Caenorhabditis elegans: one gene and its partners. The protein of the gene in region 3 purifies or fractionates together with the protein of the main gene of each other region. This does not show direct contact. Each region holds a gene or a part of one and is shown on either strand. Other genes may lie near its edges. The genes, in order: F59B1.8, ugt-62, cyp-13A12 and dpm-1.

Region 1 (5,185 bases), on a different chromosome or scaffold from region 3:
AGTTTGTAGTCGGCACCGATCGTTAAAGCGATTTTCGATATCAGAATATGCTATGTATGAAACATGAAGTGGCTTGTAGTTTGAAGTTTGTAGTTTGTAGTTTGTAGTTTGTAGTTTGTAGTTTGTAGTTTGTAGTTGTTTGCAGTTTGTAGATAGTAATCCGTGCCGAGTGTTTTTTATAATTTCAAATCGTTTCTGTTACAGCGATTTCCGATATCAGAGTTAATATGCTATGTATGAAACATGGAGTAGCTTGTAGTTTGTAGTTTGTAGCTTGTAGATTTTAGTTTGTAGTTTGTAGTTTGTAGTTTGTAGTTTGTAGTTTGTAGTCGGCACCGATCGTTAAAGCGATTTTCGATATCAGAATATGCTATGTATGAAACATGAAGTGGCTTGTAGTTTGAAGTTTGTAGTTTGTAGTTTGTAGTTTGTAGTTTGTAGTTTGTAGTTTGTAGTTTGTAGTTGTTTGCAGTTTGTAGATAGTAATCCGTGCCGAGTGTTTTTTATAATTTCAAATCGTTTCTGTTACAGCGATTTCCGATATCAGAGTTAATATGCTATGTATGAAACATGGAGTAGCTTGTAGTTTGTAGTTTGTAGCTTGTAGATTTTAGTTTGTAGTTTGTAGTTTGTAGTTTGTAGTTTGTAGTTTGCAGTTTGTAGATAGTATTTGGTGCCGAGTGTTTTTTATGATTTCAAATCGTTTCTGTTACAGCGATTTTCGATATCAGAGTTAATATGTGATTTGTAAAACATTGAACAGCTTGTAGCCTGTAGTTTGTAGTTTGTAGTTTGTAGTTTGCAGTTTGTAGGTTGTAGTCGGTATCGAGTGTATTAATAATTTCGAATCATTTCTGTTGAAGCAATTTTCGATATCAGAGTTAATATGCGCATGTGTGAAACATGAAGTAGTATGCAGTTTTTAGTTTTTAGTTTGTAGTTTGTAGTTTTTGTAGTTTGTAGTTTTTGTAGTTTGTAGTTTTTGTAGTTTGTAGTTTGTAGTGTTTCAAAGATCAAGCGTGATATTTTCCAGGAATTAAACAAAACGTGTTGTGTCACGGAGATTTATGGGCTGCCAACTTTCTGTGGACCGAAAATAATGGAGTTTTCTGTGCCACCAGAATTGTGGACTATCAGGTATATTTATTTGACAACTATAAATATTTTCCACTAAAACCTGCACATTTTCAGATGTCCCATCTAGGAAATCCAGCAGAAGACCTGGTGCGTCTCCTGGTCTCAACAATTACCGGAGCCGATCGTCAAGCCCATTGGCAGCAGATTTTGGAGCAATTTTATTCGTATTTTTTGAATGAACTTGGCTCGGGTGAAGCTCCGTACACTTTGGAGCAGGTTAGTTTTTGAGAGCAATTTTTTTATTGAAAATAAATTTTTTTCAGCTGAAGCTCTCTTTCAAGCTCTATTTTCCAGTTGGAGCATTGGCTCTTCTTCCATTGTTTGGGCCGGCTGTGGACGCGAAATTGGAGGGGATGGATTCTGAAAAAGCTGAAAAATGTCGTCACGTAGTTATTGAAAAAGTTGCATGTCTACTGGATGACCTGGAAAAGTACCATAAATTTTCCAAAAGATATTTTCAAGAAAAATAGTTTCGTCTATTTTTTTCGAAAATATTTTGTTGCGAACTGCAAATAAAATCTGTGAAATAAATAATTTATTTATTGTTTTCTTCTTGTTTTATTCAATTAAAAAAATTTAATTCATTTTCGAAAAAAATTGCCCAATTTGCCTTTTGTTTTTACAATACCAGATTTTTTTAAAAATTGGTTCCATTTTTTTTTAATTTTGAAATGTATAGAAAACGTATTTTATAGCGTTCATTTATTGCACAACAGTTTGTAGATCAAACTATCAATCACACATTTTCCACCCGCCGTCTCGTTAAAATGACGTCACTCACACACACAAGGCGGGAGGGAAAGAGAGAGGGTGTCACAAAACACAGTGACTACACAATGGGGTCACAAAGTGTGGCGGTTATATAAATAGTGCGTTCGTTTTTTTTTTGAATTCAAGTGTTTCCGTTTTTGTCCTGTCAAATGTGTTATTTCCATTGATTTCTTACACAATTTATTTCCAAGAATTTTTTAAGTTTGTCTTTTTATTATAGCTTAATAAAAGTTTTTATTTTTAAAAATCTATTAAAATAATTTTCAGCTAAAAATGTCTACAAAACCATTGTCAATTTTGCAGCCAGGTACTGGATTATTCAATACCCATGTGACTTTAGAAGATGTGAATAAAGCTATCAAAGAGCAAATGAGCACTGAAAGTGAGCTCACGGCGGAGAGCAAAATGGAGGTTATTGGGGAGGGTAATGTAAGTTTTTTATTCAATTTTTTTAAACAAAAAAACATGTTTTTTTTTTCAACTTGAAAACTGGATTTTTATATGAATTTGTAAAATAGAAATATTATAGTTTTCAATTTTTCGATTTTCCGGAAAATAAAAAAAATTGAAAACAAAAAGTTTCAAAAAATTACCATAAACCATAAAATTTAATTTTTAATCAGCTTTTGCTTTTTTAAATTTTTTTTTGTTAAAGACGAAAATAAACCAAAATGTTAAGATGTTTTTCGGAATATTTGGAAAAGAAATAAAAAAATCTTTGGACGACAGCAAGTTTTCAAAAAAAAAATCAGTTTGCGACCCAATATGAAAAATATGTACCTTCTTGTTATAAAAATTTTAAAATTGAACGCAAATAGCGCCAACCAATCAGTGATATAAGCCACGCCCTTTGCTTATCACTGATTGGTCAGCGACTTTTGCGCAGTGTTTTTGTGCTCTAGCTAGTTTTTATTTGGGGAGATAATGAGAGATAAGCAGTAAAAAAATCAAGCTTCCCATTTTTCAGGGCTTCTCCTCTTGCGTGATCCTAATCACCTGTCACTGGACCATTCCCTCGTCCCATCTTCCCAAGAAGCTAATTCTGAAAATCGTTTCATTCGTTCATGTGCAGGGCCTTCTGAATAAGTCCAATGAAGAAGGGAATTCAGTAATGTCGCCGGAAGAAGAAGCCCATGTGCATGCACATTTCGAGAAGTCCTGTCAAAAAGGGCATAACTTGGAAGTAGAGTTCTGCGAAGCTTTCGGACATTTGGAGGGGCTTCTCCTTCCCAAAGTATTCTTCTCGCAGAAATTCGAGGAGGACAACCCGAATAAGGGATTTGTTGGAATGGAGTTCGTTGAAGGTTCAGTCGTCCGGCACTGTTATGAAAATGTTACTGTAGATGAGCTCCAGCCAATTTTGAAGGCTCTTGCAAGGCTCCAGGCGTTGAGTTTGAGCACCGAAAGCTGCAGAAATTTAGATAATGGAGAAGCCTTTGAAGAGAGTTTAATGGATATGTTGTCCGAAGATGGCCTGAAAGGGATTTTCGATCAAAGCCGGAATATTGACCAGAAATTGAGTGAAAAAGTTGAACGGATTGAGCAGAACCACAAGGAGATTCTGAATTTGGAGACTGTTCTCAATTTGAATAAAGTTGTAGGTAAGAGTGAATTTTTAAAAAATTTCCAAATGTAATTTTTACCGTAGCTTTGAAAATGTTAAAAAAACATTTCGATTTTCTTTTTTGAAAACCATAATTTTTTTACAAACACTGCAACTTGTGATCAAATTTTCTCCTCTTATTTATGTACATTTCTAAAGATTTTGAAAGAAAAAGGTCTCGCAACGAAAATATATCCCATGTTGAAAATAGTTTCTCGCGGCGAAAATTGGATCTTGCCACAATAAAGGATCTCGCCAAAAGTTGAAAAATAAATTACCCGCTATCACCCTCCGTGGTATTTTTTTGTAGGTTGCAAGTTGTAGTTTGTAGTTTGTGGTCTGTAGTTTGTAGTTTGTAGTTTTTACATTGTAGTTCTTTTTTGTTATGTTTCAGAGGTCTAACTTTATATTTTCAGGAATCGACCAAAAAGTTATCTGCCATGGAGATTTATGGGCTGCCAATATTTTGTGGACCCAGACGGATGGAGGTTTTATTGCCGACAAAGTTTTGGATTATCAGGTAGAAAAAATTGATTTAATGTCGAAAATGTTCAAAAAAATGAATTTTTTAGGAATCTCACATGGGAAATCCAGCTGAAGATTTGGTGCGTCTCCTCGTCTCAACTATTTCCGGAGCCGACCGTCAATCTCACTGGGAGCACATTTTGGAGCAATTTTACACTTATTTCACGGACGAGATAGGCTCCAACAATGCTCCATACACTCTTGAACAGGTAATTTTTTGAACCATTTTTTTGGAAATTAAAAATTCTAAAACTGAAAATTTTTCAGCTCAAGACCTCTTTCAAACTGTATTTCCCAGTTGGAGCATTGACACTGATCTCCTTGTTCGGGCCGGCTGTTGACATGAAATTGCAGGGAATGGAGTCTGGAAAAGCTGAAAATTACAGACGGATTGTCATCGAAAAAGTGGATTGTCTGTTGGATGATGTGCTCAATTTTCATGATTTCAACAAGAAGTTCACTGGAAAAAATTAAAAATTTTTGCTTGATATAGTCATTTACTATATATAAAGCGCTTATTCCGTTTGTCCATAGTTTGTAGTCTATGTAGTCTTTGTATTCTGCGAAGTTTTAGCTTCTGGAGGGATAGTGAGTTGGGGTTAGTGTAGGGATATAGTCGGGGTACTGTAGTGGTACAATGGTGGTACGGTAGGAGTACTGTATGATTACGGTAGTTTCAGAAAAATTGGTTTTCAGCTCCAGAAGTCGGGGGCCGCGCTGGAGGTGCGGTCCACGGCTGGTTGGAAAATAAATTGATTCATGTAACTTGAGGAATTCTATGCATTTGTCAATTTTCTGGAATTAGATAAAAGCGTAATTTAGGCTAACTTGGCTTAGGCCTAGGCTTGGGCTTATGCTCAGGCTCAGACTTAGGTTTAGGCTCAGGCTCAGGCTTAGGCTTAGGCAAGCCAGAATTTTCTGAAAATCGGAAAAATATAAATTAAGAACAAAATCTTCAATATTATTAAACCTAACAATGAAACTATAAACATTTAAAAATGCATTTGCCTGAAAAATTTGGTCAAATTCGGAAACTGGATGAAAATTTATAAAAAGGCCGGAAACGACGTTGAATATTAGCGGAATTGGCATAAAAAATTTCCTTGGAGCCAATTTTTTTTAAATTTTTTAAATTTAGAGAAATAATCT
Region 2 (6,299 bases), 8.5 Mb from region 3:
AAAACATCTAAACACATGCTTAAAATAATTTTAAAGTTGAAAATCTGAATAAATAAAAGGAAGAATATTTCAAGGGGCGGGGCTAAAACGGCTGCACTGCGCCTCATTGCAAGCACGCCGCGCATTTTTTCTATTCTTTTTCTTCTCTTCGAGCATTTAATTTGTTTCTCTAATTTTTTCCTTTTCTTCAAGATTCACAGTCAATTTTAAAAGTTTCAGATAAAAATGTCTTCAAACTTAATCAGATTTGTTGGAAATCATGATATTGCATCGGAAGGAAAGTTTTTGTTCGAGATTCTCTCACAACTCCGCAACGTATGTTATTCTGCTGTTTTCCCCCTTGATTCAATTGTTTTTTTTTCAGTTTGGTGTCGGTCGTCTTGTTACAAAGAATGAATGGACACGGAAATGGCCGAATAATCCGTCATATATGAAGATTTTGAGGGCATTCTTGATTTTTAGCATGAACAAAGATCACTGAAACTTTTCAGGCAGAGCCAGGCATGGACCGATGGTTATTCGAAGGAAAAGTTTATGCTGAATGGGTCTTTCGTGGAAAAAATCTTGGCGTTTATGAGTTTTCAAAGGATTTGAACAGAAGTGACTGGCAGCTGGTACACAAGTAAGCAATTCTTAATTGAGGATTCGAAATTTTCGTTTATTTTCAGACATCAAGAAAAATCATATACATCGAGCACAACACCAATGCAAGATCTTGTTCTTCCCGATTCGTTTCCATTGCCACCACTTCAAGTTCATTTGTCACAGAAAAGTGCTCGCAAAAATGGTTTGGATGAGAAAACTGTGTCAAGACGGGCTCCGCTCACACTTAGTGTCGATCCAGAGTTCCAGCACTTGAAGCCGTTCATCAAACAGGTGGGATTAACTATGTATATGCTGAAATAAAAAACTCCGAAACTCACAAAATTTTATTTTTCAATTTTCAACCATTTCAGGAAGCTCCTTCAACAAAAAGCGTGTCGATCTACGAGGAAGTTGATAAGAATGCACTTTTGGATCTTTACGGAAACGAATTGCCAGTTAAAGTTGAAGCTTGGAATGCAGGACCAGCAATGTTCCAACCACGATTTAATGCCACAACGATGAGAGTTGAAGAGCAACCACCGAAATGATTCTCTTTCAATTTAATTTTTTTTAAATTTAAGTTTTCGATTGTAGCAGTTGTTTTTAGACTTTGTTTTCTTTTTGTTCTGTTTCGTTAGAGTTTTAAAATTAAACTATCATGAACCAAGTCACATTGTTCCAAGACTACAGTGAAGTGAAATTTGTGATAGTTAAAAAAAATGTTAATGATTAATTCAAAAATACAAAAATGTATAAAATATAGATCACAACTTAAAGAGAACGCATTCGTTATAACAGTATGAGTTGAACAAGTTGAATCATTAACAGAAACGAACCAAACATCAGTGGCGAATTTGCGTAAATAAACTCAGGTTTGAATACAGTACTTACTGTGACTAAATAAGTTGCAACAGCGGAGGGAAAATATTACTGACGTTGTGAAAAAGAGAGTTGTGAAAAATGAATACTCATAGTCAGTCCAGAAATCTAATGGTACAACTATGTTTTTTGGTGGCTTTAACTTTAAAAATTGAAATTGCGCGTGGAATTCGGTGCATTTGGAAAATTTGTGCACCCACCGTAACACAATGCATCAGATTTCCTGCGCAACTTTATTCAAGATTATTTGATTATTACACTCCACTAAATATTTAAGATGATATTTCACAATAATTTTTACGTTTTGGATGCACAAACAACACAATGATGTAAAACAGATTGTGATAAGATAAGAGCCTATTTAGAATCAGTACTTTTTTTTCAGAAAAGCACCAAACCATAACTTCCTACAAACCACATTTCTGATTTATAAATTAGCATTGTCTATAATTCTCTACGGCTCTCTTTTTTAGTCTAGTTGTCTCTAGGAAACTTGGGTTTGTGATTGACTATCAGAAATGATGCAAATAAAAGAGTATTTAAACAACGATGTATGGACAAAGTTTTCTCAATTTCTGTTTCAGAAATGAAATTGATTGCTCTTTTTCTTCTACTGCTTGGAGCAGTTTCCGCGTACAAATATGCGGTTTTTGTACCATATATGGCTAATAGTCAGGTGAGCTGAGAAACTTTAATCGAGAAATATTTCATACTATGTGGAGCATTTGTTAAGTCTAGGTCAAATTTATAGTAGTCAAAGTTCTTTGGTACATAAATTGGAAAAATTTTCTTTTCCCTTTGATTGAAATCGTCACAGACATAAAACCAAAAAAAACGATCAAACTTTTCACATTCATATTTGGTTATATATAACTATAATGATAGTTACCAAAAAAGTTCGATGCTTCTCCATATTAAACAGTTTAAAATGGAGAAAATGTGCTACTGACTGAAATTTAAAACAAAACAGTTAAAACGTTCGTATAATTTTAATAAACTTTCTAAATTATTGCATTTCAGGTCCAATTCTGTACTCGTGTGGCCGAAGTTCTTGCCAATGGAGGACATGACGTCACAATGATTCATCTTTCTCATTTGCCAGATTACAAAACTGATGTGAAGATTCCGAAGAATATAAAGGGTTCGCTTTTTGAATTCTAAATTTCTTTTAAGCTTTTTAATTTTTAGTCCATCGTGTGGAGGCATATGTCGAGGGACTTACCAAAGCTCTCCTTGAAAAAGAGCAATCTGCATTTATTTTCAAAGATACCGGACTGAAGGATATGCCAGCTATGATGTCAATGTTCAGTAGATTCGGAAAAATGTTCCAAGATGGATGTAGGAATATTGTGCGAAACAAGGAGTTTATGAAATGGCTGGAAAATGAAAAGTTTGATGTGGCCTACTCATATATCTATTCTTCATGTCCAATTGGACTAATCCATGCTGCAAAGATTCCATCTTGGGTATGGTTGAACAGTGGAGCACTGATGGATTTTGTGGCTGAAACAGTCGGTGTACCAATTATTCCAAGTTATGTACCTCCATTAATGATGGAGTCCGATGATGAAATGGGCTTCTTCTTCAGAATGAAAAGTTTTATCGGACATACATTGATGACAGTTTTGCACAGAAGGTTAGTTCGAAGAAAATCATTACTTATATACAAAAAATACAGTTCGAAATATAGTTTTAAAAATACAGATAATGAGAGCTCTTGAAATTTGAAACAAGTCCCCGAAGAAACATTTTCAAAAAATTTCATTTAAGGCAGATATTAATGTTTAAAGTTATGAAAATTAAATAAATAACCTAATAAAAAAATGTGGTCATTTATATGCCTGTAGGTCAGTTTTTTTTGATTAAACTGGAAACTTCTGGTACCTAGAAAAATTTTGTAATTAAATTCAGAAAGCTCATAAAATGTGAAAAAATCTGGAAAGTGCTAGAATTTGCTAAAAAAGATCTGGAAAGGTCTAGAATTTTTAAAAGAATTTCCAAGTCTTAGAATTCTCTTGAAAGTCCGCAAAACTCCAGGAAAATGTGTAACTGTAGAAAAATGTTACCTACATTAGCACTTTAAAATGTATTAAAACAATTTAGCGTGCGCCAGTCGGAGCACGCGTTTTGCGCGTGCTCCGGTAAATAAATAAAAAATATGGGAACTTGAAATTGGGGAGTTTTAGATAGTTATTATACGTCATAAATTTCAAAACCCTACTTTTTGAGTAGATTTTAGAAAATTCCTTATTTTTAAATTGTCATTAACTTTTTTTAAAGGCTTGTTTTTGATAATTAAAAAAAAATTCATTCTGCATTCCTACGATATTCCTAAAACTTCAAGTTTTTGTATTTTCAGAATGACCTCAAACGGAGAAACTCAAATTTTCCGTGATGAACTGAATGATCCAAACTTCCCACATACAATGGATCTTGGAGCAAAATGTCCATTGGTGAGTTTTTAGTTAATCTATTTTTTAATCACAAAAACGTTCAGGTAATTGTTAATAGCAACGAACTTTACGATCTTCCTCGTCCGACATTGGCAAAGGTCGTGAATATTGGAGGATTAGGAGTTGGATTTGACAGTGCCAAACCATTGACTGGGGTTAGTTGTAGTTATTGGAATGTACCTGAAACTATTTTATTTCAGGAGTTCAAAAAAATCTCGGAGACCGGAAAAGGAATGATTGTATTCTCATTTGGATCCGTTGCAGCAGCTCATGATATGCCATTAGAATGGAAGAATTCAATTCTCGAAGCATTCTCCTCACTTCCAGATTATCAATTTTTAATGAGATATGTGGCTGATGATTTGAATGATAGATTGCCAAAGAATGTTCATTTATTCAAATGGCTTCCACAGAAAGATCTATTGTTGCATAATAAGACTAAAGCATTCATTACTCACGGAGGTTATAATTCTATGCAGGTATTCATTTTATATTATTTGAGAAACGTTGAAGTTAGAGTGGAGAGAATTTAGCTATTTGATATTTGATTGAAAATCACTTTTTTTTGAACTGAAAAGCATTTTTGAGAATTTTTCTGATATTTTTTCTCGGTAGAGCCTAAATGGTTCAAAACTTTAGATAGGGCAAAGTTACTCGGTTTCTAAATGCAACTTTCAAATTTCCATAAAAATAAGAATCCATTGTTCCAGGAGGCAATTTCTGCTGGAGTTCCACTGGTCACTATTGCACTATTTGGTGATCAACCCAAAAATTCCAAAGTTGCAAAAAAACATGGATTTGCTGTAAACATTCAAAAAGGCGAAATTTCAAAGAAAACGATTGTAAAAGCAATTATGGAAATTGTGGAGAATGACAGGTTTGTTATTTTATTACACAACATTTCTAACTGTTGAAATTGTATCTAGCTCGGGAATGTCGGGAACCATGTTTTGTCAGAATAGCCATGGTTGAGCAAAGTTGTGACAAATTGAATGTTTTGGGCCGCTGCTCAGTTAATTCAATTTTTTTCGCGTTAGTATGAGTCGTAATCGAAAAAGAACTTTTTTTACTATCAAAACTTGAAAAATTTTGCAGTTACAAACAAAAAGTGAGTCGACTATCTGCAATGGTTCGTGCTCAACCAATGAAACCAGCTGAACGACTTCTAAAATGGTCAGAATTCCTTGCCGAATTCAAAACTCTTGATAATTTGGAGCCAGCTGGTCAAAAGCTTAACTTCTTCCAATATCATTCACTTGATGTAATTACATTCCTTTTCATTGTTATTTTCATTGTATTTTATATTGGATACCGTTTCATGAGAGCTGTAATCAGGTGTTGTTTCTGTAAAAAGTGTGAAACAAAAACTAAAAAGGATTAGGTTTTTGGAGATTTTATAAATTATTTTAATTTGTTTTTTTTGTTTTTTTTAATTTTATTTTATAATCTTTCGGGTTGAATAAATGATTAAAAAAACAATTTTTGATTTTAATTTGCTATGCATACAGAGGTAGGCTGGCTAAATGAGGAGAGATGGGTTGCGGGCGAAGCCAGGCTTGAGACTCGTGTGGTTACTGTACCTTTTAAGTTAAACTGTGCTAATAATATTTCAGTTCGCTGTGAAAATTAAGTTTCGAATTTCCATGTTTTGTTTAGAAAAATATGAAAACTTGTGTGAAATTATTGATATTTTCTTCAAAACTAAAAATCCAGATTTTTATACCAATTTACTAAGTTCTGCTAAAAAACTTTAACACAGTGAATTATTATTGAATAATTTATTATGAACAGCAGAAAAAGACACGAATAGAAAAAATGTTTGAAATACAAAGCTATGTGAACAAATGTTTGAGTCGTGAAGGGTTGTAGATACACGTAACAAGTTGACCCATAAAATCGGGTGGATTTTCCAGCAATAAAGTGAACAAATTGAGGTTTTGGTTGTTGCAAAGGTTTTGTGAGGTTTTTGGAGAAACTTAATACATATCGGTAATAACACGGGGGAGAAAATGAATGAAAGAATTATGGGAAGAGAAAGGGAAAAAAGCACCTTGATTTTGAGAAATTGTGAATTAAAGAAATACTGAAGGTTATTAAGAGATGTGAATGTTGACTTCTTCGTCTATATCATCAAAAGTCTGTGAATCTAATGAGATCGGATCGTCGTATAATGCATTTCGTGGAGCCTCTTCTCCACTTGAAGAGCTACCCAATTTGAGTACAGATTCGAGCGGAGTCGCATGAGCAGGAATAGCTGGAGGTTTCTCTCGTTCGAAGTTCTTGTCCTTTCGTGGTTTCATCGTCATATAGTCGTTATCATTGATCACTGGCATCAGCTCGGTGTCACCAACAATAACGGTACCAGCTGCAGCACGGGAGTAT
Region 3 (6,536 bases):
TTTGCGCGGGAGTTCAAAAATAATTAGCTCTTTTTTTTTTAATTTTAGCAAAATTGAACTTCATAAAAAAAATTCATTAAAAAGATTAATTAAAAAATTAAAAAAATAGAAACTTTAAAAAAATTGTTACAGTTATATTCGGCCATTACCGTCTATTTTCTGGCATTTAAAGCACAATTTTTCTTGACACACTTTTAAACAAACTAAAAAAAGTTGTAATCCTTTAACTAAAACTTTCAGATATTTCCAAGAATTCACAATGGACGTGATTGGACGCATAGCAATGGGACAACCAGACTCACTAATGTTCAAAAACCCATTACTACCTTGTGCTCGAGACGTTTTTGGCAAACCACGGACCGCTTTATTTCTATCTGGAATTTTATTCCCATGGATTGGTCCGATGATTCGAAAAGTTGTATTCTATTTCACAAATGTTTTTAATAATCCAGCAGCACAAATTATGTATCAAACTGCAAATGCGGTGGAGCAAAGGATTAAGCAAAGAATGGCTGAAGAGAAAGCTGGAATTGATCCAGGGGAGCCCCAAGATTTTATTGATTTGTTTTTGGACGCAAAATCGGATGACATGGAATTAGAGAATAATGAGGATTTTACAAAAGCCGGAGTGAAAGTCACTAGACAATTGACAAAAGATGAAGTTGTTGGACAGTGCTTTGTATTTTTAATTGCTGGATTCGATACAACAGCCTTATCACTATCATATTCTTCATTCCTCCTGGCAACTCACCCAAAAGCTCAGAAGAAATTACAAGAAGAAATTGATAGAGAATGTGCAGATCCAGAAGTTACATTCGATCAACTATCAAAGTTGAAGTATATGGAATGTGTTATAAAGGAGACGCTCAGAATGTATCCGCTGGGAGCTTTGTAAGTTTTAAATTCCAATAATTTTTTTTAGGCGCTCAAGCTTTTTTTCAGATGCTCAAGCTACTTTTTTAGATGCTCAAGCTATTTTTTTTAATGCTCAAGCTATTTTTTCTTGTATCTTGAAAATTAGTAATTTCCAGAGCAAATTCTCGCCGTTGTATGAGATCTACTAAAATTGGAAATTATGAAATTGAAAAAGGCGTCGACATTTTATGTGACACGTGGACACTTCACTATGACAAAAGTATTTGGGGAGAAGATGCTGAAGAGTTTAAGCCTGAAAGGTATGACTTTGAAGCTACTACTTATTAATTTAAAAATTTGTAAGATGGGAATCAGGAGACGAGCATTTCTATCAAAAAGGAGGATATATTCCATTTGGATTGGGACCTCGACAGTGTATCGGAATGAGATTGGCCTATATGGAGGAGAAGCTTCTTTTGTCACATATTCTCAGAAAGTATACATTGGAAGTTTGCAATAAGACCCAGATTCCGTTGAAGCTTATTGGTTCAAGAACTACACAACCGGAAAGTGTCTGGTTGAATTTGACGCCGAGGGATGATAATTGAATTACGGGTCTTTTGTACATATTAATTTTAGTATACTTTGTGAAATATTCTAAAATCTTTATCCTCCAAATTTTTTAGTATATAAAATGCTTCTTAAAAGTCTGTAGAACCAATTTTTAATTTTTTTTTAAACTGGGTTACAAAAATTTTTGTCTTAAGATAGAATGACTCAAACAAATTTCGATTTCAAAAATTAAAGCCAGCGTCTTTCAAAAAAGCAAATAGCGTCTCATTTACAATAACCAACACTGGAAGGAATACAGGAAGGGAGAGCACAACAGAGCAAGCGGGAAGACTGTAGGTCACACTAAACCGACAGAGGCCGCATAGATCAAACTGAAGATAAGACATATTGTGTGTAAAGGACCTCACAACAATTCTATAGAAATATGACTTCATCTACTGATTGGAAGTCCAAAATTTGCATCAGCAATCACAAAATTAATAATTCTGATCACAAATAGTCAGAAAAGAAGTCTCACTGAAACTCTACCCACAAACCAAAAAATTGATAGACAACTAGAAATTGGAGACTTAGACAGACCGGCAAATAACTTTTGTGACCAAATAGTGATTTGTGGGGAGTATGACGATAAGGTAGTAAACCAATAAGATGTATAAATAGGAAGAGAGTTTATTTGGTTTTGTAGACCATTCAAGTTTTGAGTTTAAAAAAATTGAAATGGCAATTATATTTCTTGCTATTTTAACTTCAATTATTGGAGTTTTAAGGTTAGTTATTGCAGTTTTTTGTATTTTAAAATTAAATCAAAACAAAAACTTTGCAGCTTTTACCTCTGGACATGGAGTTACTGGAAGCGTCGTGGAATAGCTGGACCATCTGGCTATCCAATTCTGGGAAGCGCTTTGGAAATGTTGAGCTCAGAAAATCCACCATATCTCCAACTGAAAGAGTGGACAAAGCAATATGGAAAGGTTTATGGAATAACTGAAGGACTCTCAAGAACACTAGTGATTTCGGATCCTGATTTGGTGCAGGAAGTGTTTGTGAAACAATATGACAATTTCTTTGGGAGAAAGCTGAATCCAATTCAAGGAGATCCGAATAAGGACAAGAGGGTCAACTTGTTCTCGTCTCAAGGTCATCGATGGAAGCGGCTGAGAACTATTTCGAGCCCAACTTTTTCTAATAATAGTTTGAGGTGAGTTTCTATACTTGATATTAGGCCCGAGTCTACAAAATGCAATTTTAAAAGTTTCCTAACTTTCAAAAAAAGTTACCAAAATGGATGTGTTATGAACTAAAAGATTTAGAAAAATATTTTTTTTAGTATTTGGATTTTTTAAATTTCAGTTGGAAAAACAGACGGATTAAATTTATATTTCGTTTAAAATCAGATTAAATTAATACTTTGATACGATTTGATTTTGAGGTATAATTTTTCAAAATTACATAAATTTGTACATAGAACAACTATTTTTCGTTTATCTGTACATATAGATAGAATTACACTCACTACCAAATAAATATCGTAGAGTACTAAAATGACCAAATAAAATAGTAAGACTTTTCAAAAAAACTTTTGATACTTTTTTATTGACTGTCATAATTTTGAAAGTCTGCAAAAATACATTTAAATTGTTTGTATTTAATTATTATAGGTGTTTCCACCTGTAACAATGATCGAGATTAATACAAAACCCATGATTGAAAAATTTTGAAATTATGTATATTTTTTCGGGCGCTTTCGACTATAATAAATGTATCTAAAGTCCAAACTCCCACTGAACTATTTTTGAATAAATGTATGAATTTTCAAAAAAAAAAAGCCCATTAGCTTGGAATGCCAGTGTTTCATTAAAAATTAATCTATATATAGACTATAGTCAGCGTTTTTTTTTTTAATTTTCAGAAAACTGAAAACAACCGTCGAAGAATGCGCCGTGGAACTATTGAGACACATCGAGCAACACACTGATGGCGGGCAACCAATTGATTTATTGGAGTAAGTATCAAAAATAGAACTGATTTTATACAATGTTGGGCATTTTCAGTTTCTATCAAGAATTCACTCTCGACGTAATTGGACGTATTGCAATGGGACAAACCGATTCTCAAATGTTCAAAAACCCGTTGCTCCCATATGTCAGGGCAGTATTTGGAGAACCACGAAAAGGGCTTTTCCTCTCCGGATCACTTGCTCCATGGATTGGACCGATTCTCCGAATGGTTATGTTTTCATTGCCGAATATAGTGAAGAATCCAGCGGTACACGTGATTCGTCATACTTCAAATGCAGTGGAACAAAGGGTTAAACTGAGAATGGCCGATGAGAAAGCTGGAATTGATCCAGGAGAGCCCCAAGATTTTATCGATTTGTTTTTGGACGCAAAATCGGATGACGTAGAATTAGAGAATAATGAGGATTTTACAAAAGCCGGAGTGAAAGTCACTAGACAATTGACGACTGAGGAAATTGTTGGGCAGTGCTTTGTATTTTTAATTGCTGGATTCGATACAACAGCCTTATCACTATCATATTCTTCATTCCTCCTGGCAACTCACCCAAAGGTTCAGAAGAAATTACAAGAAGAAATTGATAGAGAATGTGCAGATCCAGAAGTTACATTCGATCAACTATCAAAGTTGAAGTATATGGAATGTGTTATAAAGGAGACGCTCAGAATGTATCCGCTGGGAGCTTTGTAAGTTTGAAATTCCAATAATTAGGGTTTGAAAAACTAATTTAACTAACTTTTATAGAGCAAATTCTCGATGTTGTATGAGAGCTACTAAAATTGGAAATTACGAAATCGATGAAGGCACAAATATTCTTTGCGACACATGGACACTTCATTCGGATAAGAGTATTTGGGGAGAGGATGCTGAAGAGTTTAAGCCTGAAAGGTAGGTCTAATTTAGGATAGTGCCAGGGTACCGTAGCAATACTTGGGGGATGCTATAGGATTTCTGTAGTTTAGAAAAAAACACATTTTGTTTTTTGATAGAATAGTGACTTGGGGGTACTGTAGGAGAACTATAGGATTACTGTAATTCTGGAATAAAAACAAGGTTTTGGTCTTTCAAAGAGATTAATATTTTGCAGTTTGAGAATAAATGTTTGGATGAAAAGAGAATGTAAAATCCAGGAAAAAACACAGTTTTGCTCAAACTCACTACTACTACCCTCTGCTAGAGCATATTAGAATCAGGGGTGCGCAGCAATTGCCGTTCGGCAATCGAATTTTCGGCAATTTCGGCAATTGCAAAAATTGCCCATTGCCGCGCAGCCCTGTGCTGGGGTACTGTAGAACTACTGTAGTTTTGAAAAAAACACACACTTTTTGTCGTTTGAATGAATAGTGACTTGAGGTACTGTAGTGGTATTGTAGGAGTACTGTAGGATTACTGTAGTTTTTGAAGAAAAATTGAATTTTGAAGATTTAGTGGCTTGAAGGAAAACTCTATACGAAGGCCAGCTTTGAACTTTTTGAGATAATTCATGGGAAAATTAAATTCAAATATCTTCTAATTCCGTTTTGCAACAAAATGCTTCACGAAAGAAGATTATAACTTTCTGAAAATTACTTCTTGAAATTCTGAAATTTCTAGTCGATATGAGGATGTTTAGAACATTTTCTAAAAATTAATAATAAAATTGGCTCTAAAATTGTTTTTCATAAATAAACTGCAAAATCAAAATAAAAAACCATATAATCATAAACTTGAATTGTTCACTAATTCTTATGTACCAATGTTTTAAAAAAAGTAATTTTAGATGGGAATCAGGAGATGAGCATTTCTATCAAAAAGGAGGATATATTCCATTTGGATTGGGACCTCGACAGTGTATCGGAATGAGATTGGCCTATATGGAGGAGAAGCTTCTTTTGTCACATATTCTCAGAAAGTATACATTGGAAGTTTGCAATAAGACCCAGATTCCGTTGAAGCTTATTGGTTCAAGAACTACACAACCGGAAAGTGTCTGGTTGAATTTGACGCCGAGGGATGATAATTGAATTATTATGGGTCATTTTTGATATTGTAAATGTTTATAATTGATATCCAAATCCAATATATTGGATATAAATTATTTGTTCTCATGACAGTCTTAATTTATAGAAAAAACGGGAAAAAAAATTTCAAAATGGCAAATCAGCAAACCGGCAATTTTACTTGTCAAACGGCAATTGCCGCCCACCCTGTTTCGGCAAACGACAAATCGGCAAATCGGCAAACCGGCAAGTCGGCAAATTGCCGGAATTGAAAATCCGGCAAGTCGGCAGTTTGCCGAAAGCCTCTTGAAAGTCTTGATTTCAAATATACATTTCTGTTCAAAAATTACAATTTTTATAGATTTAGAATCTTACAAATCTTCATTATGGAAACATTTTTCCTAGGCATGTAGGCAAAAATGCCTAGCCGCCTTTAATGTGGCTTACGCTTGCCTGACAAAATGACGCGCGCCGCTGGAAATCTTTATCGTACGAATAAAATACAAAACTAGTAGATCTCTTATTTCCAAATCTCAATTTTCCGTGTTTTTCTCAGCAACCGGCTTCACCGCAAATGATTGTCTTCTCATTTCCTGATTCTCAGCCATTAGCTTCATCACATGCTTCTTGACATCATCTGAATCCATTGAGCCTCCATCTTCCAGCCATTTCTGCACCTGACACGTCGACTCATCCGGCTCCACGAGCAAATCCAACGTTCTCGCGTCTTGCCAATTGCTCTCGTCTTCTTCGTCGCCGGTAGCTTCTTGTCTGAAAATTTCAATATTTCCTGGGACAAGCTACCAATATCCTTACCCCATCATAAATGCATCGGCAACTTCCGTCACAAAATCCACTCTCCGTTTCATTTTTCCCAAGTTTTTAATAGTCTTTCTGGTGTCCTCATCTTCAGATTCAAATCCAACGTGCATAGCAGTGCCGACTTTATTTTTCACCGAGATGACACTTTCAGACGACTTGCTTTTTCCGATTTTCTGGAAAAAAAAAATTTTCTTCAAAAAATTGATCCAATTTACAAACTGATCATTTGAAATTAGTGCCAAAATATAGAAAATCACTTGATTTTTCTAAAAAAATTACATTTATTTCAGC
Region 4 (5,883 bases), on a different chromosome or scaffold from region 3:
TTTTTAAATAATAAAAGAATTAAAAAAAGTAAAATCAAGAATTGTAGTGTTTTGTATGCTGAGCATTTCTTCGGCTAAAAGTTTTTTGATATCTATGCTCACGAGAGAGCTATGCTCTTTTGGAAAACGTACAAGTTAAATTCCTTGATATAACCTCGCTAGCTGTTATAGATCATAACTCAGTAACCAGTGACGGAATCAAAAAACGCTAAACTAATGAAATGTTCAAAATTGTTCAAATATTATTTTCATAATTGACTGCTTCCTGTTTTATTTCTTATTCGCAAAGTTACGCACGTTTAAATAATATTTATCGTGATTTCTGGTATATTGAACTACAAAAATTAAAATTGTTATTGAAAATCTTATTGAACAATCCATTTTTCATTCAATTTTAATATTTTTTTCAAACGTAAATTAGCAAGAATTTGAAGCTTTGTTCAAAATCTTCCGTTTTTCGCCGCTTTTCACGTTTTGAGCGAAAGAGCGTGCGCAAGTGAGAGGTGAAAGATGACGAGAGCGACTTGCTTGCGCGTTTCACCCGCAGGAGGCCGTGTATAAACTTTATATATACTATAAAGTTTGTTTACCGTTTCGAATCAGTTCCTTTATCTTTTTCAATAATTTCTCGCATTTTTCTCATTTCTTATTTTAATTTTATTTGCATTTGCCGCGTAAGTGACACGAAAAGTGAGCGCCGCAAACGCGCTCCGCTGAGAATTTGTTTGTGCACTCCTCTCGAATAAGTCAAAAATACACGTCTTTATTAAAACTTATTGATTTTTCAGTGTATTCCTGTGATTTTTCTTGAATTTCTAAATGTTTTTGCAGATGAACACTCAAATTTCCATGCGAAACTTGCTAACAAGCTGCTCAAAAGCCATCACAGCAGGTTAGTAAAGGAAAAAGGTCGAAAAATATCATTTGAAGGTTATTTTCAAAAAAAAAACGTGGCAGAACATTTTTCGTACAACATTTTTCATGTGAAAATTGCAATTACTATTATTTCCATTCATTTCTCCTCAAAATCAGACTTTTTATAAACCATTTCCCCCTTCCTCTCCCTAAATCAAAATCACTATTCCCGCGTGAATTTCACATTTTCAGAGAGAAATAATGCGTGGAGAGCAAGTTTGGGAAAAATCAGCCGTCGAGACTACTTGCATCGGTACCAAGTTAAATTTATCCGTCCGGATGGTTCGACAATCATGGTTCCCGCCGCTGAACCGAGACAGGTTGCTTTTTGAAAAATACATATTTAATTGCAGTTTTTATATTTAATCAGTTTTTTAATTGTACATATTTTCAGACATTCCAATCTGCCGTCGACCTCAAACAGTTGAGCGAGGATGAACGACGACAACGGCTGGCTGCTCGTAAACCAAAAGCCAAGATCACAAAAACAGTAATTATATAATTAACGATTTCAAATTAAAAATGGTTTTTTCAGGAAGTTATCGATGACACCTTCGATGAGTCGGAGTATATGAAGTTTTGGTCGGCACCCGGGCAGAAATCCACGAAAAAATAAGAAAAATCTCGTTATTAGCATGTAGTATTTCTTTTTTTTTGTTAGATTTTTTGTTTTCGTTATATTTACTATGAATATCGACTTTATTCTCGATCTGATTAATATTGATTTGTGCGTTTAGTCGCAATTTTATATCAATTATCTCTATTTCACTAGGGAACCCCGTAACAGCTTGGTGGATAGGAAACCAAGAAGTTTGTGGAGGAAAATCGAGTTTCCGGTCGAAATTAGCTTGAAAATACTAATATGCTAAAAACCTCTAAAAACCTCATTTTTCAGCGATAAACGCCGAATTTTCAGCCATTTTCCGAGAAAAACGCGAATTTTCGGGTAAAAAACCCGATCTCAGAACGAATTTGACTTCAAAAATGGAAAAATGCGATAAGAAGCGTGAAGTTTCACTGAAAACTCTTAATTTCAACGTTTTTTACTCAAAAAATCGTATTTCTGGCTCAAAAACAGTGAAATTTATCATTTTTTTTCTGTGAAAAAATCGATTGGGGGGACCAATAAAAGGTACATTTTTGTGACCCACTGACCGAAAATGTACTTTAATCAAAGAATAAGCGCGTAGTAAAGGACCATAATATTTATTAAAGATTGATAATTGAATAAAAATTTAGTTCCAGACGGTGTCACACCGAGAAGGTGGAAAAATGTGATTTTAGCTGAAAATGAGCTTTTTCTAAAACTTTGACCCATAACTTTTTTTTGAGAAAATTTCAAAACTTCTCATTACGAAATTCGGTAGTTTTGAATCATTTGGTTCTAAAAAGCAAAGTCTTAGATTTCGGTACTCCAACTTTAATTTTCAGTGACACTAGTGTTTTTAAGACTTTGAGACCGATTAATTTTGTTTTGATTTCGAGTAGCCAGTATTTAACACAAGCTTCCGATTGGTATACTTTTTGTTTCTCTTATTCACCAAGTTTTTACAGGGATCCCTAGTCAGATTATTCAAAAGGAATTTTATGTTTCAGATTATTATGACATCCACTCCGAAATATTCGATAATTCTGCCAACCTACAACGAAAAAGAAAATTTGCCGATTTGCATTTGGTTAATTGAAAATTATCTGAAAGAAGTTTCACATGAAGTGATTATCGTTGACGATGCATCACCAGACGGTACTCAAGGCATTGCAAAACTTCTTCAAAAGGAGTACGGAGACGATAAGATTCTGATCAAGCCACGAGTTGGAAAACTTGGACTTGGTACAGCCTATTCACATGGATTATCGTTTGCACGTGGAGAATTTATCATTCTTATGGACGCAGATCTTTCTCATCATCCAAAATTCATTCCGGAAATGATTGCGCTTCAACATAAGTATAAGGTATACATTATTCGTACATTTTTTCTAAAAATTGTTAAAAAAACAGAACTTTTTTAAATTTCAAAATTTATAGGTGTACAAATGTTATTTTAGTTAAATAATAGTTAATTTGATGAAAGTTTTCCAATTTGAGAAAAATATGGCAAGAACTTATTATGCAACGTTAAGCATTTAAAATTTATATAGAAATGTAGAACACAGCATGTTCTATCTGAAAATAACATATATTTCTGTTAAAAAATTGAAAAAAGTCCTCAAATAGTACCTGAAAATTGTCGTTTGACGAAAAGGTGCCGTTAAAAGTTTTTTCGGCAAACTGTAACTTTCAGGCACAGTTGGATCAGGGGTGTGCTGATAATATCCGATTCACTATCAGCCGAATTTCTGCCAGTTTAGCTAATTTAAACTTTAAGTTATCCGGTAGCCGATGTTGGCCGATCTTAGCCCAATTTCCCGGTCTGCTAATTTCACTAACACATTTTTTTTTGGAAAAAATGTTGGGGTTTTATATGATTTTTTCTATTTGAACAGTCGTTCATCACTGAATTTGCTAAAAAATAGTGAACATCACCGCAACTTTTTTCGAACGAGGGCCGAGAAAAAATGCGAAAAATCGGTGTTTGCACACAAAACACCGCATTTTACGACATTTTGTACTTGCTTTGTTTTCTCTTGTTTTTCACCAATTTTTCCCGTGTTTTCTTATCAAAACTGATAAATAAATTTTTTTGCTAATGCTAAAATAATTTCCAGATGAAAAAATATGTATTCAGTCGGCAAGTAGCGGTGAAAGTCGTCAATGTAATATGATGGATTACGGGAATACAAAACCCAAACTTTTTCCCAAACATGATACATATGCTGCTCTGATGCTGAAACTACCTGATTTTCATAACGAGACCGCTGAAAAAGTTTTGAGGTTTTCAAAATTCAACTTTTTGTGCGAAAATCTCTACTTTTTCACCAAAAAAGTTGAATTTTGAAAGCCTCAAAACTTTTTCAGTGGTCTCGTTATGAAAATCAGGTAGTTTCAGCATCAGAGCAGCATATGTATCATGTGTGGGAAAAAGTTTGGGTTTTGTGTTCCCGTAATCCATCATATTACATTGACCACTTTCACCGTTACTTACAGACTCAATACACAATTTTTTCACTTGGAAATTGTTTTAGCATCTGCAAAAAATATTTATTTATTAGTATTAATAAGAAAAAATGGGGAAAATTGGTGAAAAACGAAAGAAAACACGCGGAAAACAAAGCAACATAAATGGCCGCTGAAACTTGTCGGGGACTCGGCCATGGCCTAGAAACCTTTTTGCCTCGTCCCTCGTTCGAAAAAAGTTGTAGTGAATAGCCGTTAGCCGGCTTCAAAAAAGTCGGCATTAGCCGATCTATCTGTTAGCCGAAAAAGTCGGTTATCCGCACACCCCTGATTATCATGTTGAAATGCGCCAGTTTTGTGCGTTTGCCGAAAATAATGTCTCACCTAATATCAAGTTTCCGATAATAGAGGACATAATATTACATTTAAAAAACCATCACATTTATATCAACACAATGCCTTTTTTAAGCATAAAAATACAATTTTTTTATTTATTTTTCAGCTCGACATCGTGACAGGAACACGCTACAAGGACGGAGGTGGTGTTAGTGGATGGGATTTGAAGAGGAAGACGATCAGCAAGGGAGCCAATTTTTTGGCTCAGTTTCTGCTGAATCCAGGTGTATCTGATTTAACAGGATCATTTCGTCTTTATAAGAGAGATATTCTGTCGAAGTTGATTGCTGAAAGTGTAAGCAAAGGATACGTTTTTCAGGTGAATATAGGTTTAAATTTTGAAAAATAAAGATATTTCTGCAACTCGTGCACACCATTTACCAAAAACCGGAGCCAATGAAAAAAGGTTTTTATTGATCAAGAAACAGAAATGCAATCAAAACTTAAGCTTATTCTGAGGCTCTTCGAAAATTCAAAGTTAAATATATATAAAGAAGATTTTTTAATAACAAAATACTGTGAAAAAGATTTTTTAATGTTTTTAAAATCCGAATTGCAGATGGAAATGATGTTTCGAGCGAAAAAATCGGGTTATCGTATTGGGGAGGTACCAATCTCATTCGTCGATCGATTCTTTGGAGAATCAAAGCTCGGAAGTCAGGAAATCGTGGATTACGCAAAAGGACTTCTCTATCTGTTTGCATTTGTTTGGTAGATTCTGTGATATAATTTGTATTCATTTTACTATTTTTAATTTAAATTTTAAGAATTAAAATTTCTGAGAGTTTTATAGCCAGAGCGCTTCATTGTACGTTTTCCAAATTTTTTTATTATGACCTTGGGGATTCCTATTTATATTGTTTCCAAACATTCTTGTTTAAATTATATTTTTTCTTCGAATAAATCGTTATAATATTTTTTAAGATGCCAACAAAATTGGAAACAATTTGTGCACAAATGTTCTGGTTGGCTAAGTGTCAAGTTGCCGAATAATTAAAGCTCGGCAAATGCCGAAAAATAGAAGAAATATGTATCCAATTTTCAAAAAGAGATTAAAATTTTCAGATTATCCAGTGTTGGGAGTTAAAAATGTTATATTTTTGTACCAATATCTCGGCAAATCGGTCCAGTTTTCCAGGGCGCTTTCAACGTCTTTCAACGACTACCCCCGAGCTGTGAATTGTGCCCTGGAAAGCTGGCGATGAGCGGCAAACTCCAGAAAAAAAAGTGGGTGTGTGTGCCGCACACTGCCGTACTCTGTTGCACATTTCTGTGCATTTCTGAGTCACTATTTTTGGTGAACGGCCAGAGTCACTATATTTGGTGAACGGCCCAAATATAGTGACTCTGGCCGTTCACCAAGAACAGTGACTGTCTCGGTAGACGTATGCGCACATTCCGCGCACCTTCCGCGCACATTCTGCGCACATTGGTTTTTGTGTGTTTTTCATCCAGAAATCATGCATTCTGCGCACATTCCACGCACATTGCCTTTGGTGTGGCCATTTTCCACACCG

What was found.
Region 1: the proteins of cyp-13A12 (region 3) and F59B1.8 fractionate together in Caenorhabditis elegans (co-fractionation; one large-scale study listed by BioGRID). This does not show direct contact.
Region 2: the proteins of cyp-13A12 (region 3) and ugt-62 fractionate together in Caenorhabditis elegans (co-fractionation; one large-scale study listed by BioGRID). This does not show direct contact.
Region 4: the proteins of cyp-13A12 (region 3) and dpm-1 fractionate together in Caenorhabditis elegans (co-fractionation; one large-scale study listed by BioGRID). This does not show direct contact.

What each region holds. Positions count from the first base shown.
Region 1 is NC_003283.11:3,641,234-3,646,418, reverse strand, and holds F59B1.8 (CHK kinase-like domain-containing protein), read left to right. Parts: upstream 1-2,175; 5' UTR 2,176-2,181; coding exon 2,182-2,337; intron 2,338-2,875; coding exon 2,876-3,509; intron 3,510-3,927; coding exon 3,928-4,031; intron 4,032-4,083; coding exon 4,084-4,245; intron 4,246-4,303; coding exon 4,304-4,510; 3' UTR 4,511-4,561; downstream 4,562-5,185. Other genes in the region: F59B1.10 (CHK kinase-like domain-containing protein), read left to right, coding at 1,034-1,137, 1,192-1,353, 1,401-1,607.
Region 2 is NC_003281.10:4,536,373-4,542,671, reverse strand, and holds ugt-62 (UDP-glucuronosyltransferase), read left to right. Parts: upstream 1-2,048; 5' UTR 2,049-2,050; coding exon 2,051-2,140; intron 2,141-2,484; coding exon 2,485-2,605; intron 2,606-2,652; coding exon 2,653-3,100; intron 3,101-3,823; coding exon 3,824-3,917; intron 3,918-3,961; coding exon 3,962-4,072; intron 4,073-4,117; coding exon 4,118-4,396; intron 4,397-4,627; coding exon 4,628-4,794; intron 4,795-5,012; coding exon 5,013-5,298; 3' UTR 5,299-5,391; downstream 5,392-6,299. Other genes in the region: mrps-34 (Mitochondrial Ribosomal Protein, Small), read left to right, coding at 226-315, 365-445, 492-622, 669-876, 957-1,133.
Region 3 is NC_003281.10:13,022,487-13,029,022, forward strand, and holds cyp-13A12 (Cytochrome P450), read left to right. Parts: upstream 1-2,060; 5' UTR 2,061-2,145; coding exon 2,146-2,195; intron 2,196-2,251; coding exon 2,252-2,626; intron 2,627-3,337; coding exon 3,338-3,430; intron 3,431-3,479; coding exon 3,480-4,130; intron 4,131-4,188; coding exon 4,189-4,332; intron 4,333-5,203; coding exon 5,204-5,447; 3' UTR 5,448-5,531; downstream 5,532-6,536. Other genes in the region: cyp-13A11 (Cytochrome P450), read left to right, coding at 241-891, 1,032-1,175, 1,220-1,463; F14F7.4 (uncharacterized protein), read right to left, coding at 5,957-6,194, 6,240-6,418.
Region 4 is NC_003282.8:443,166-449,048, forward strand, and holds dpm-1 (Dolichol-phosphate mannosyltransferase subunit 1), read left to right. Parts: upstream 1-2,511; 5' UTR 2,512-2,517; coding exon 2,518-2,868; intron 2,869-4,472; coding exon 4,473-4,685; intron 4,686-4,925; coding exon 4,926-5,081; 3' UTR 5,082-5,284; downstream 5,285-5,883. Other genes in the region: mrpl-55 (39S ribosomal protein L55, mitochondrial), read left to right, coding at 820-892, 1,108-1,235, 1,310-1,405, 1,451-1,531.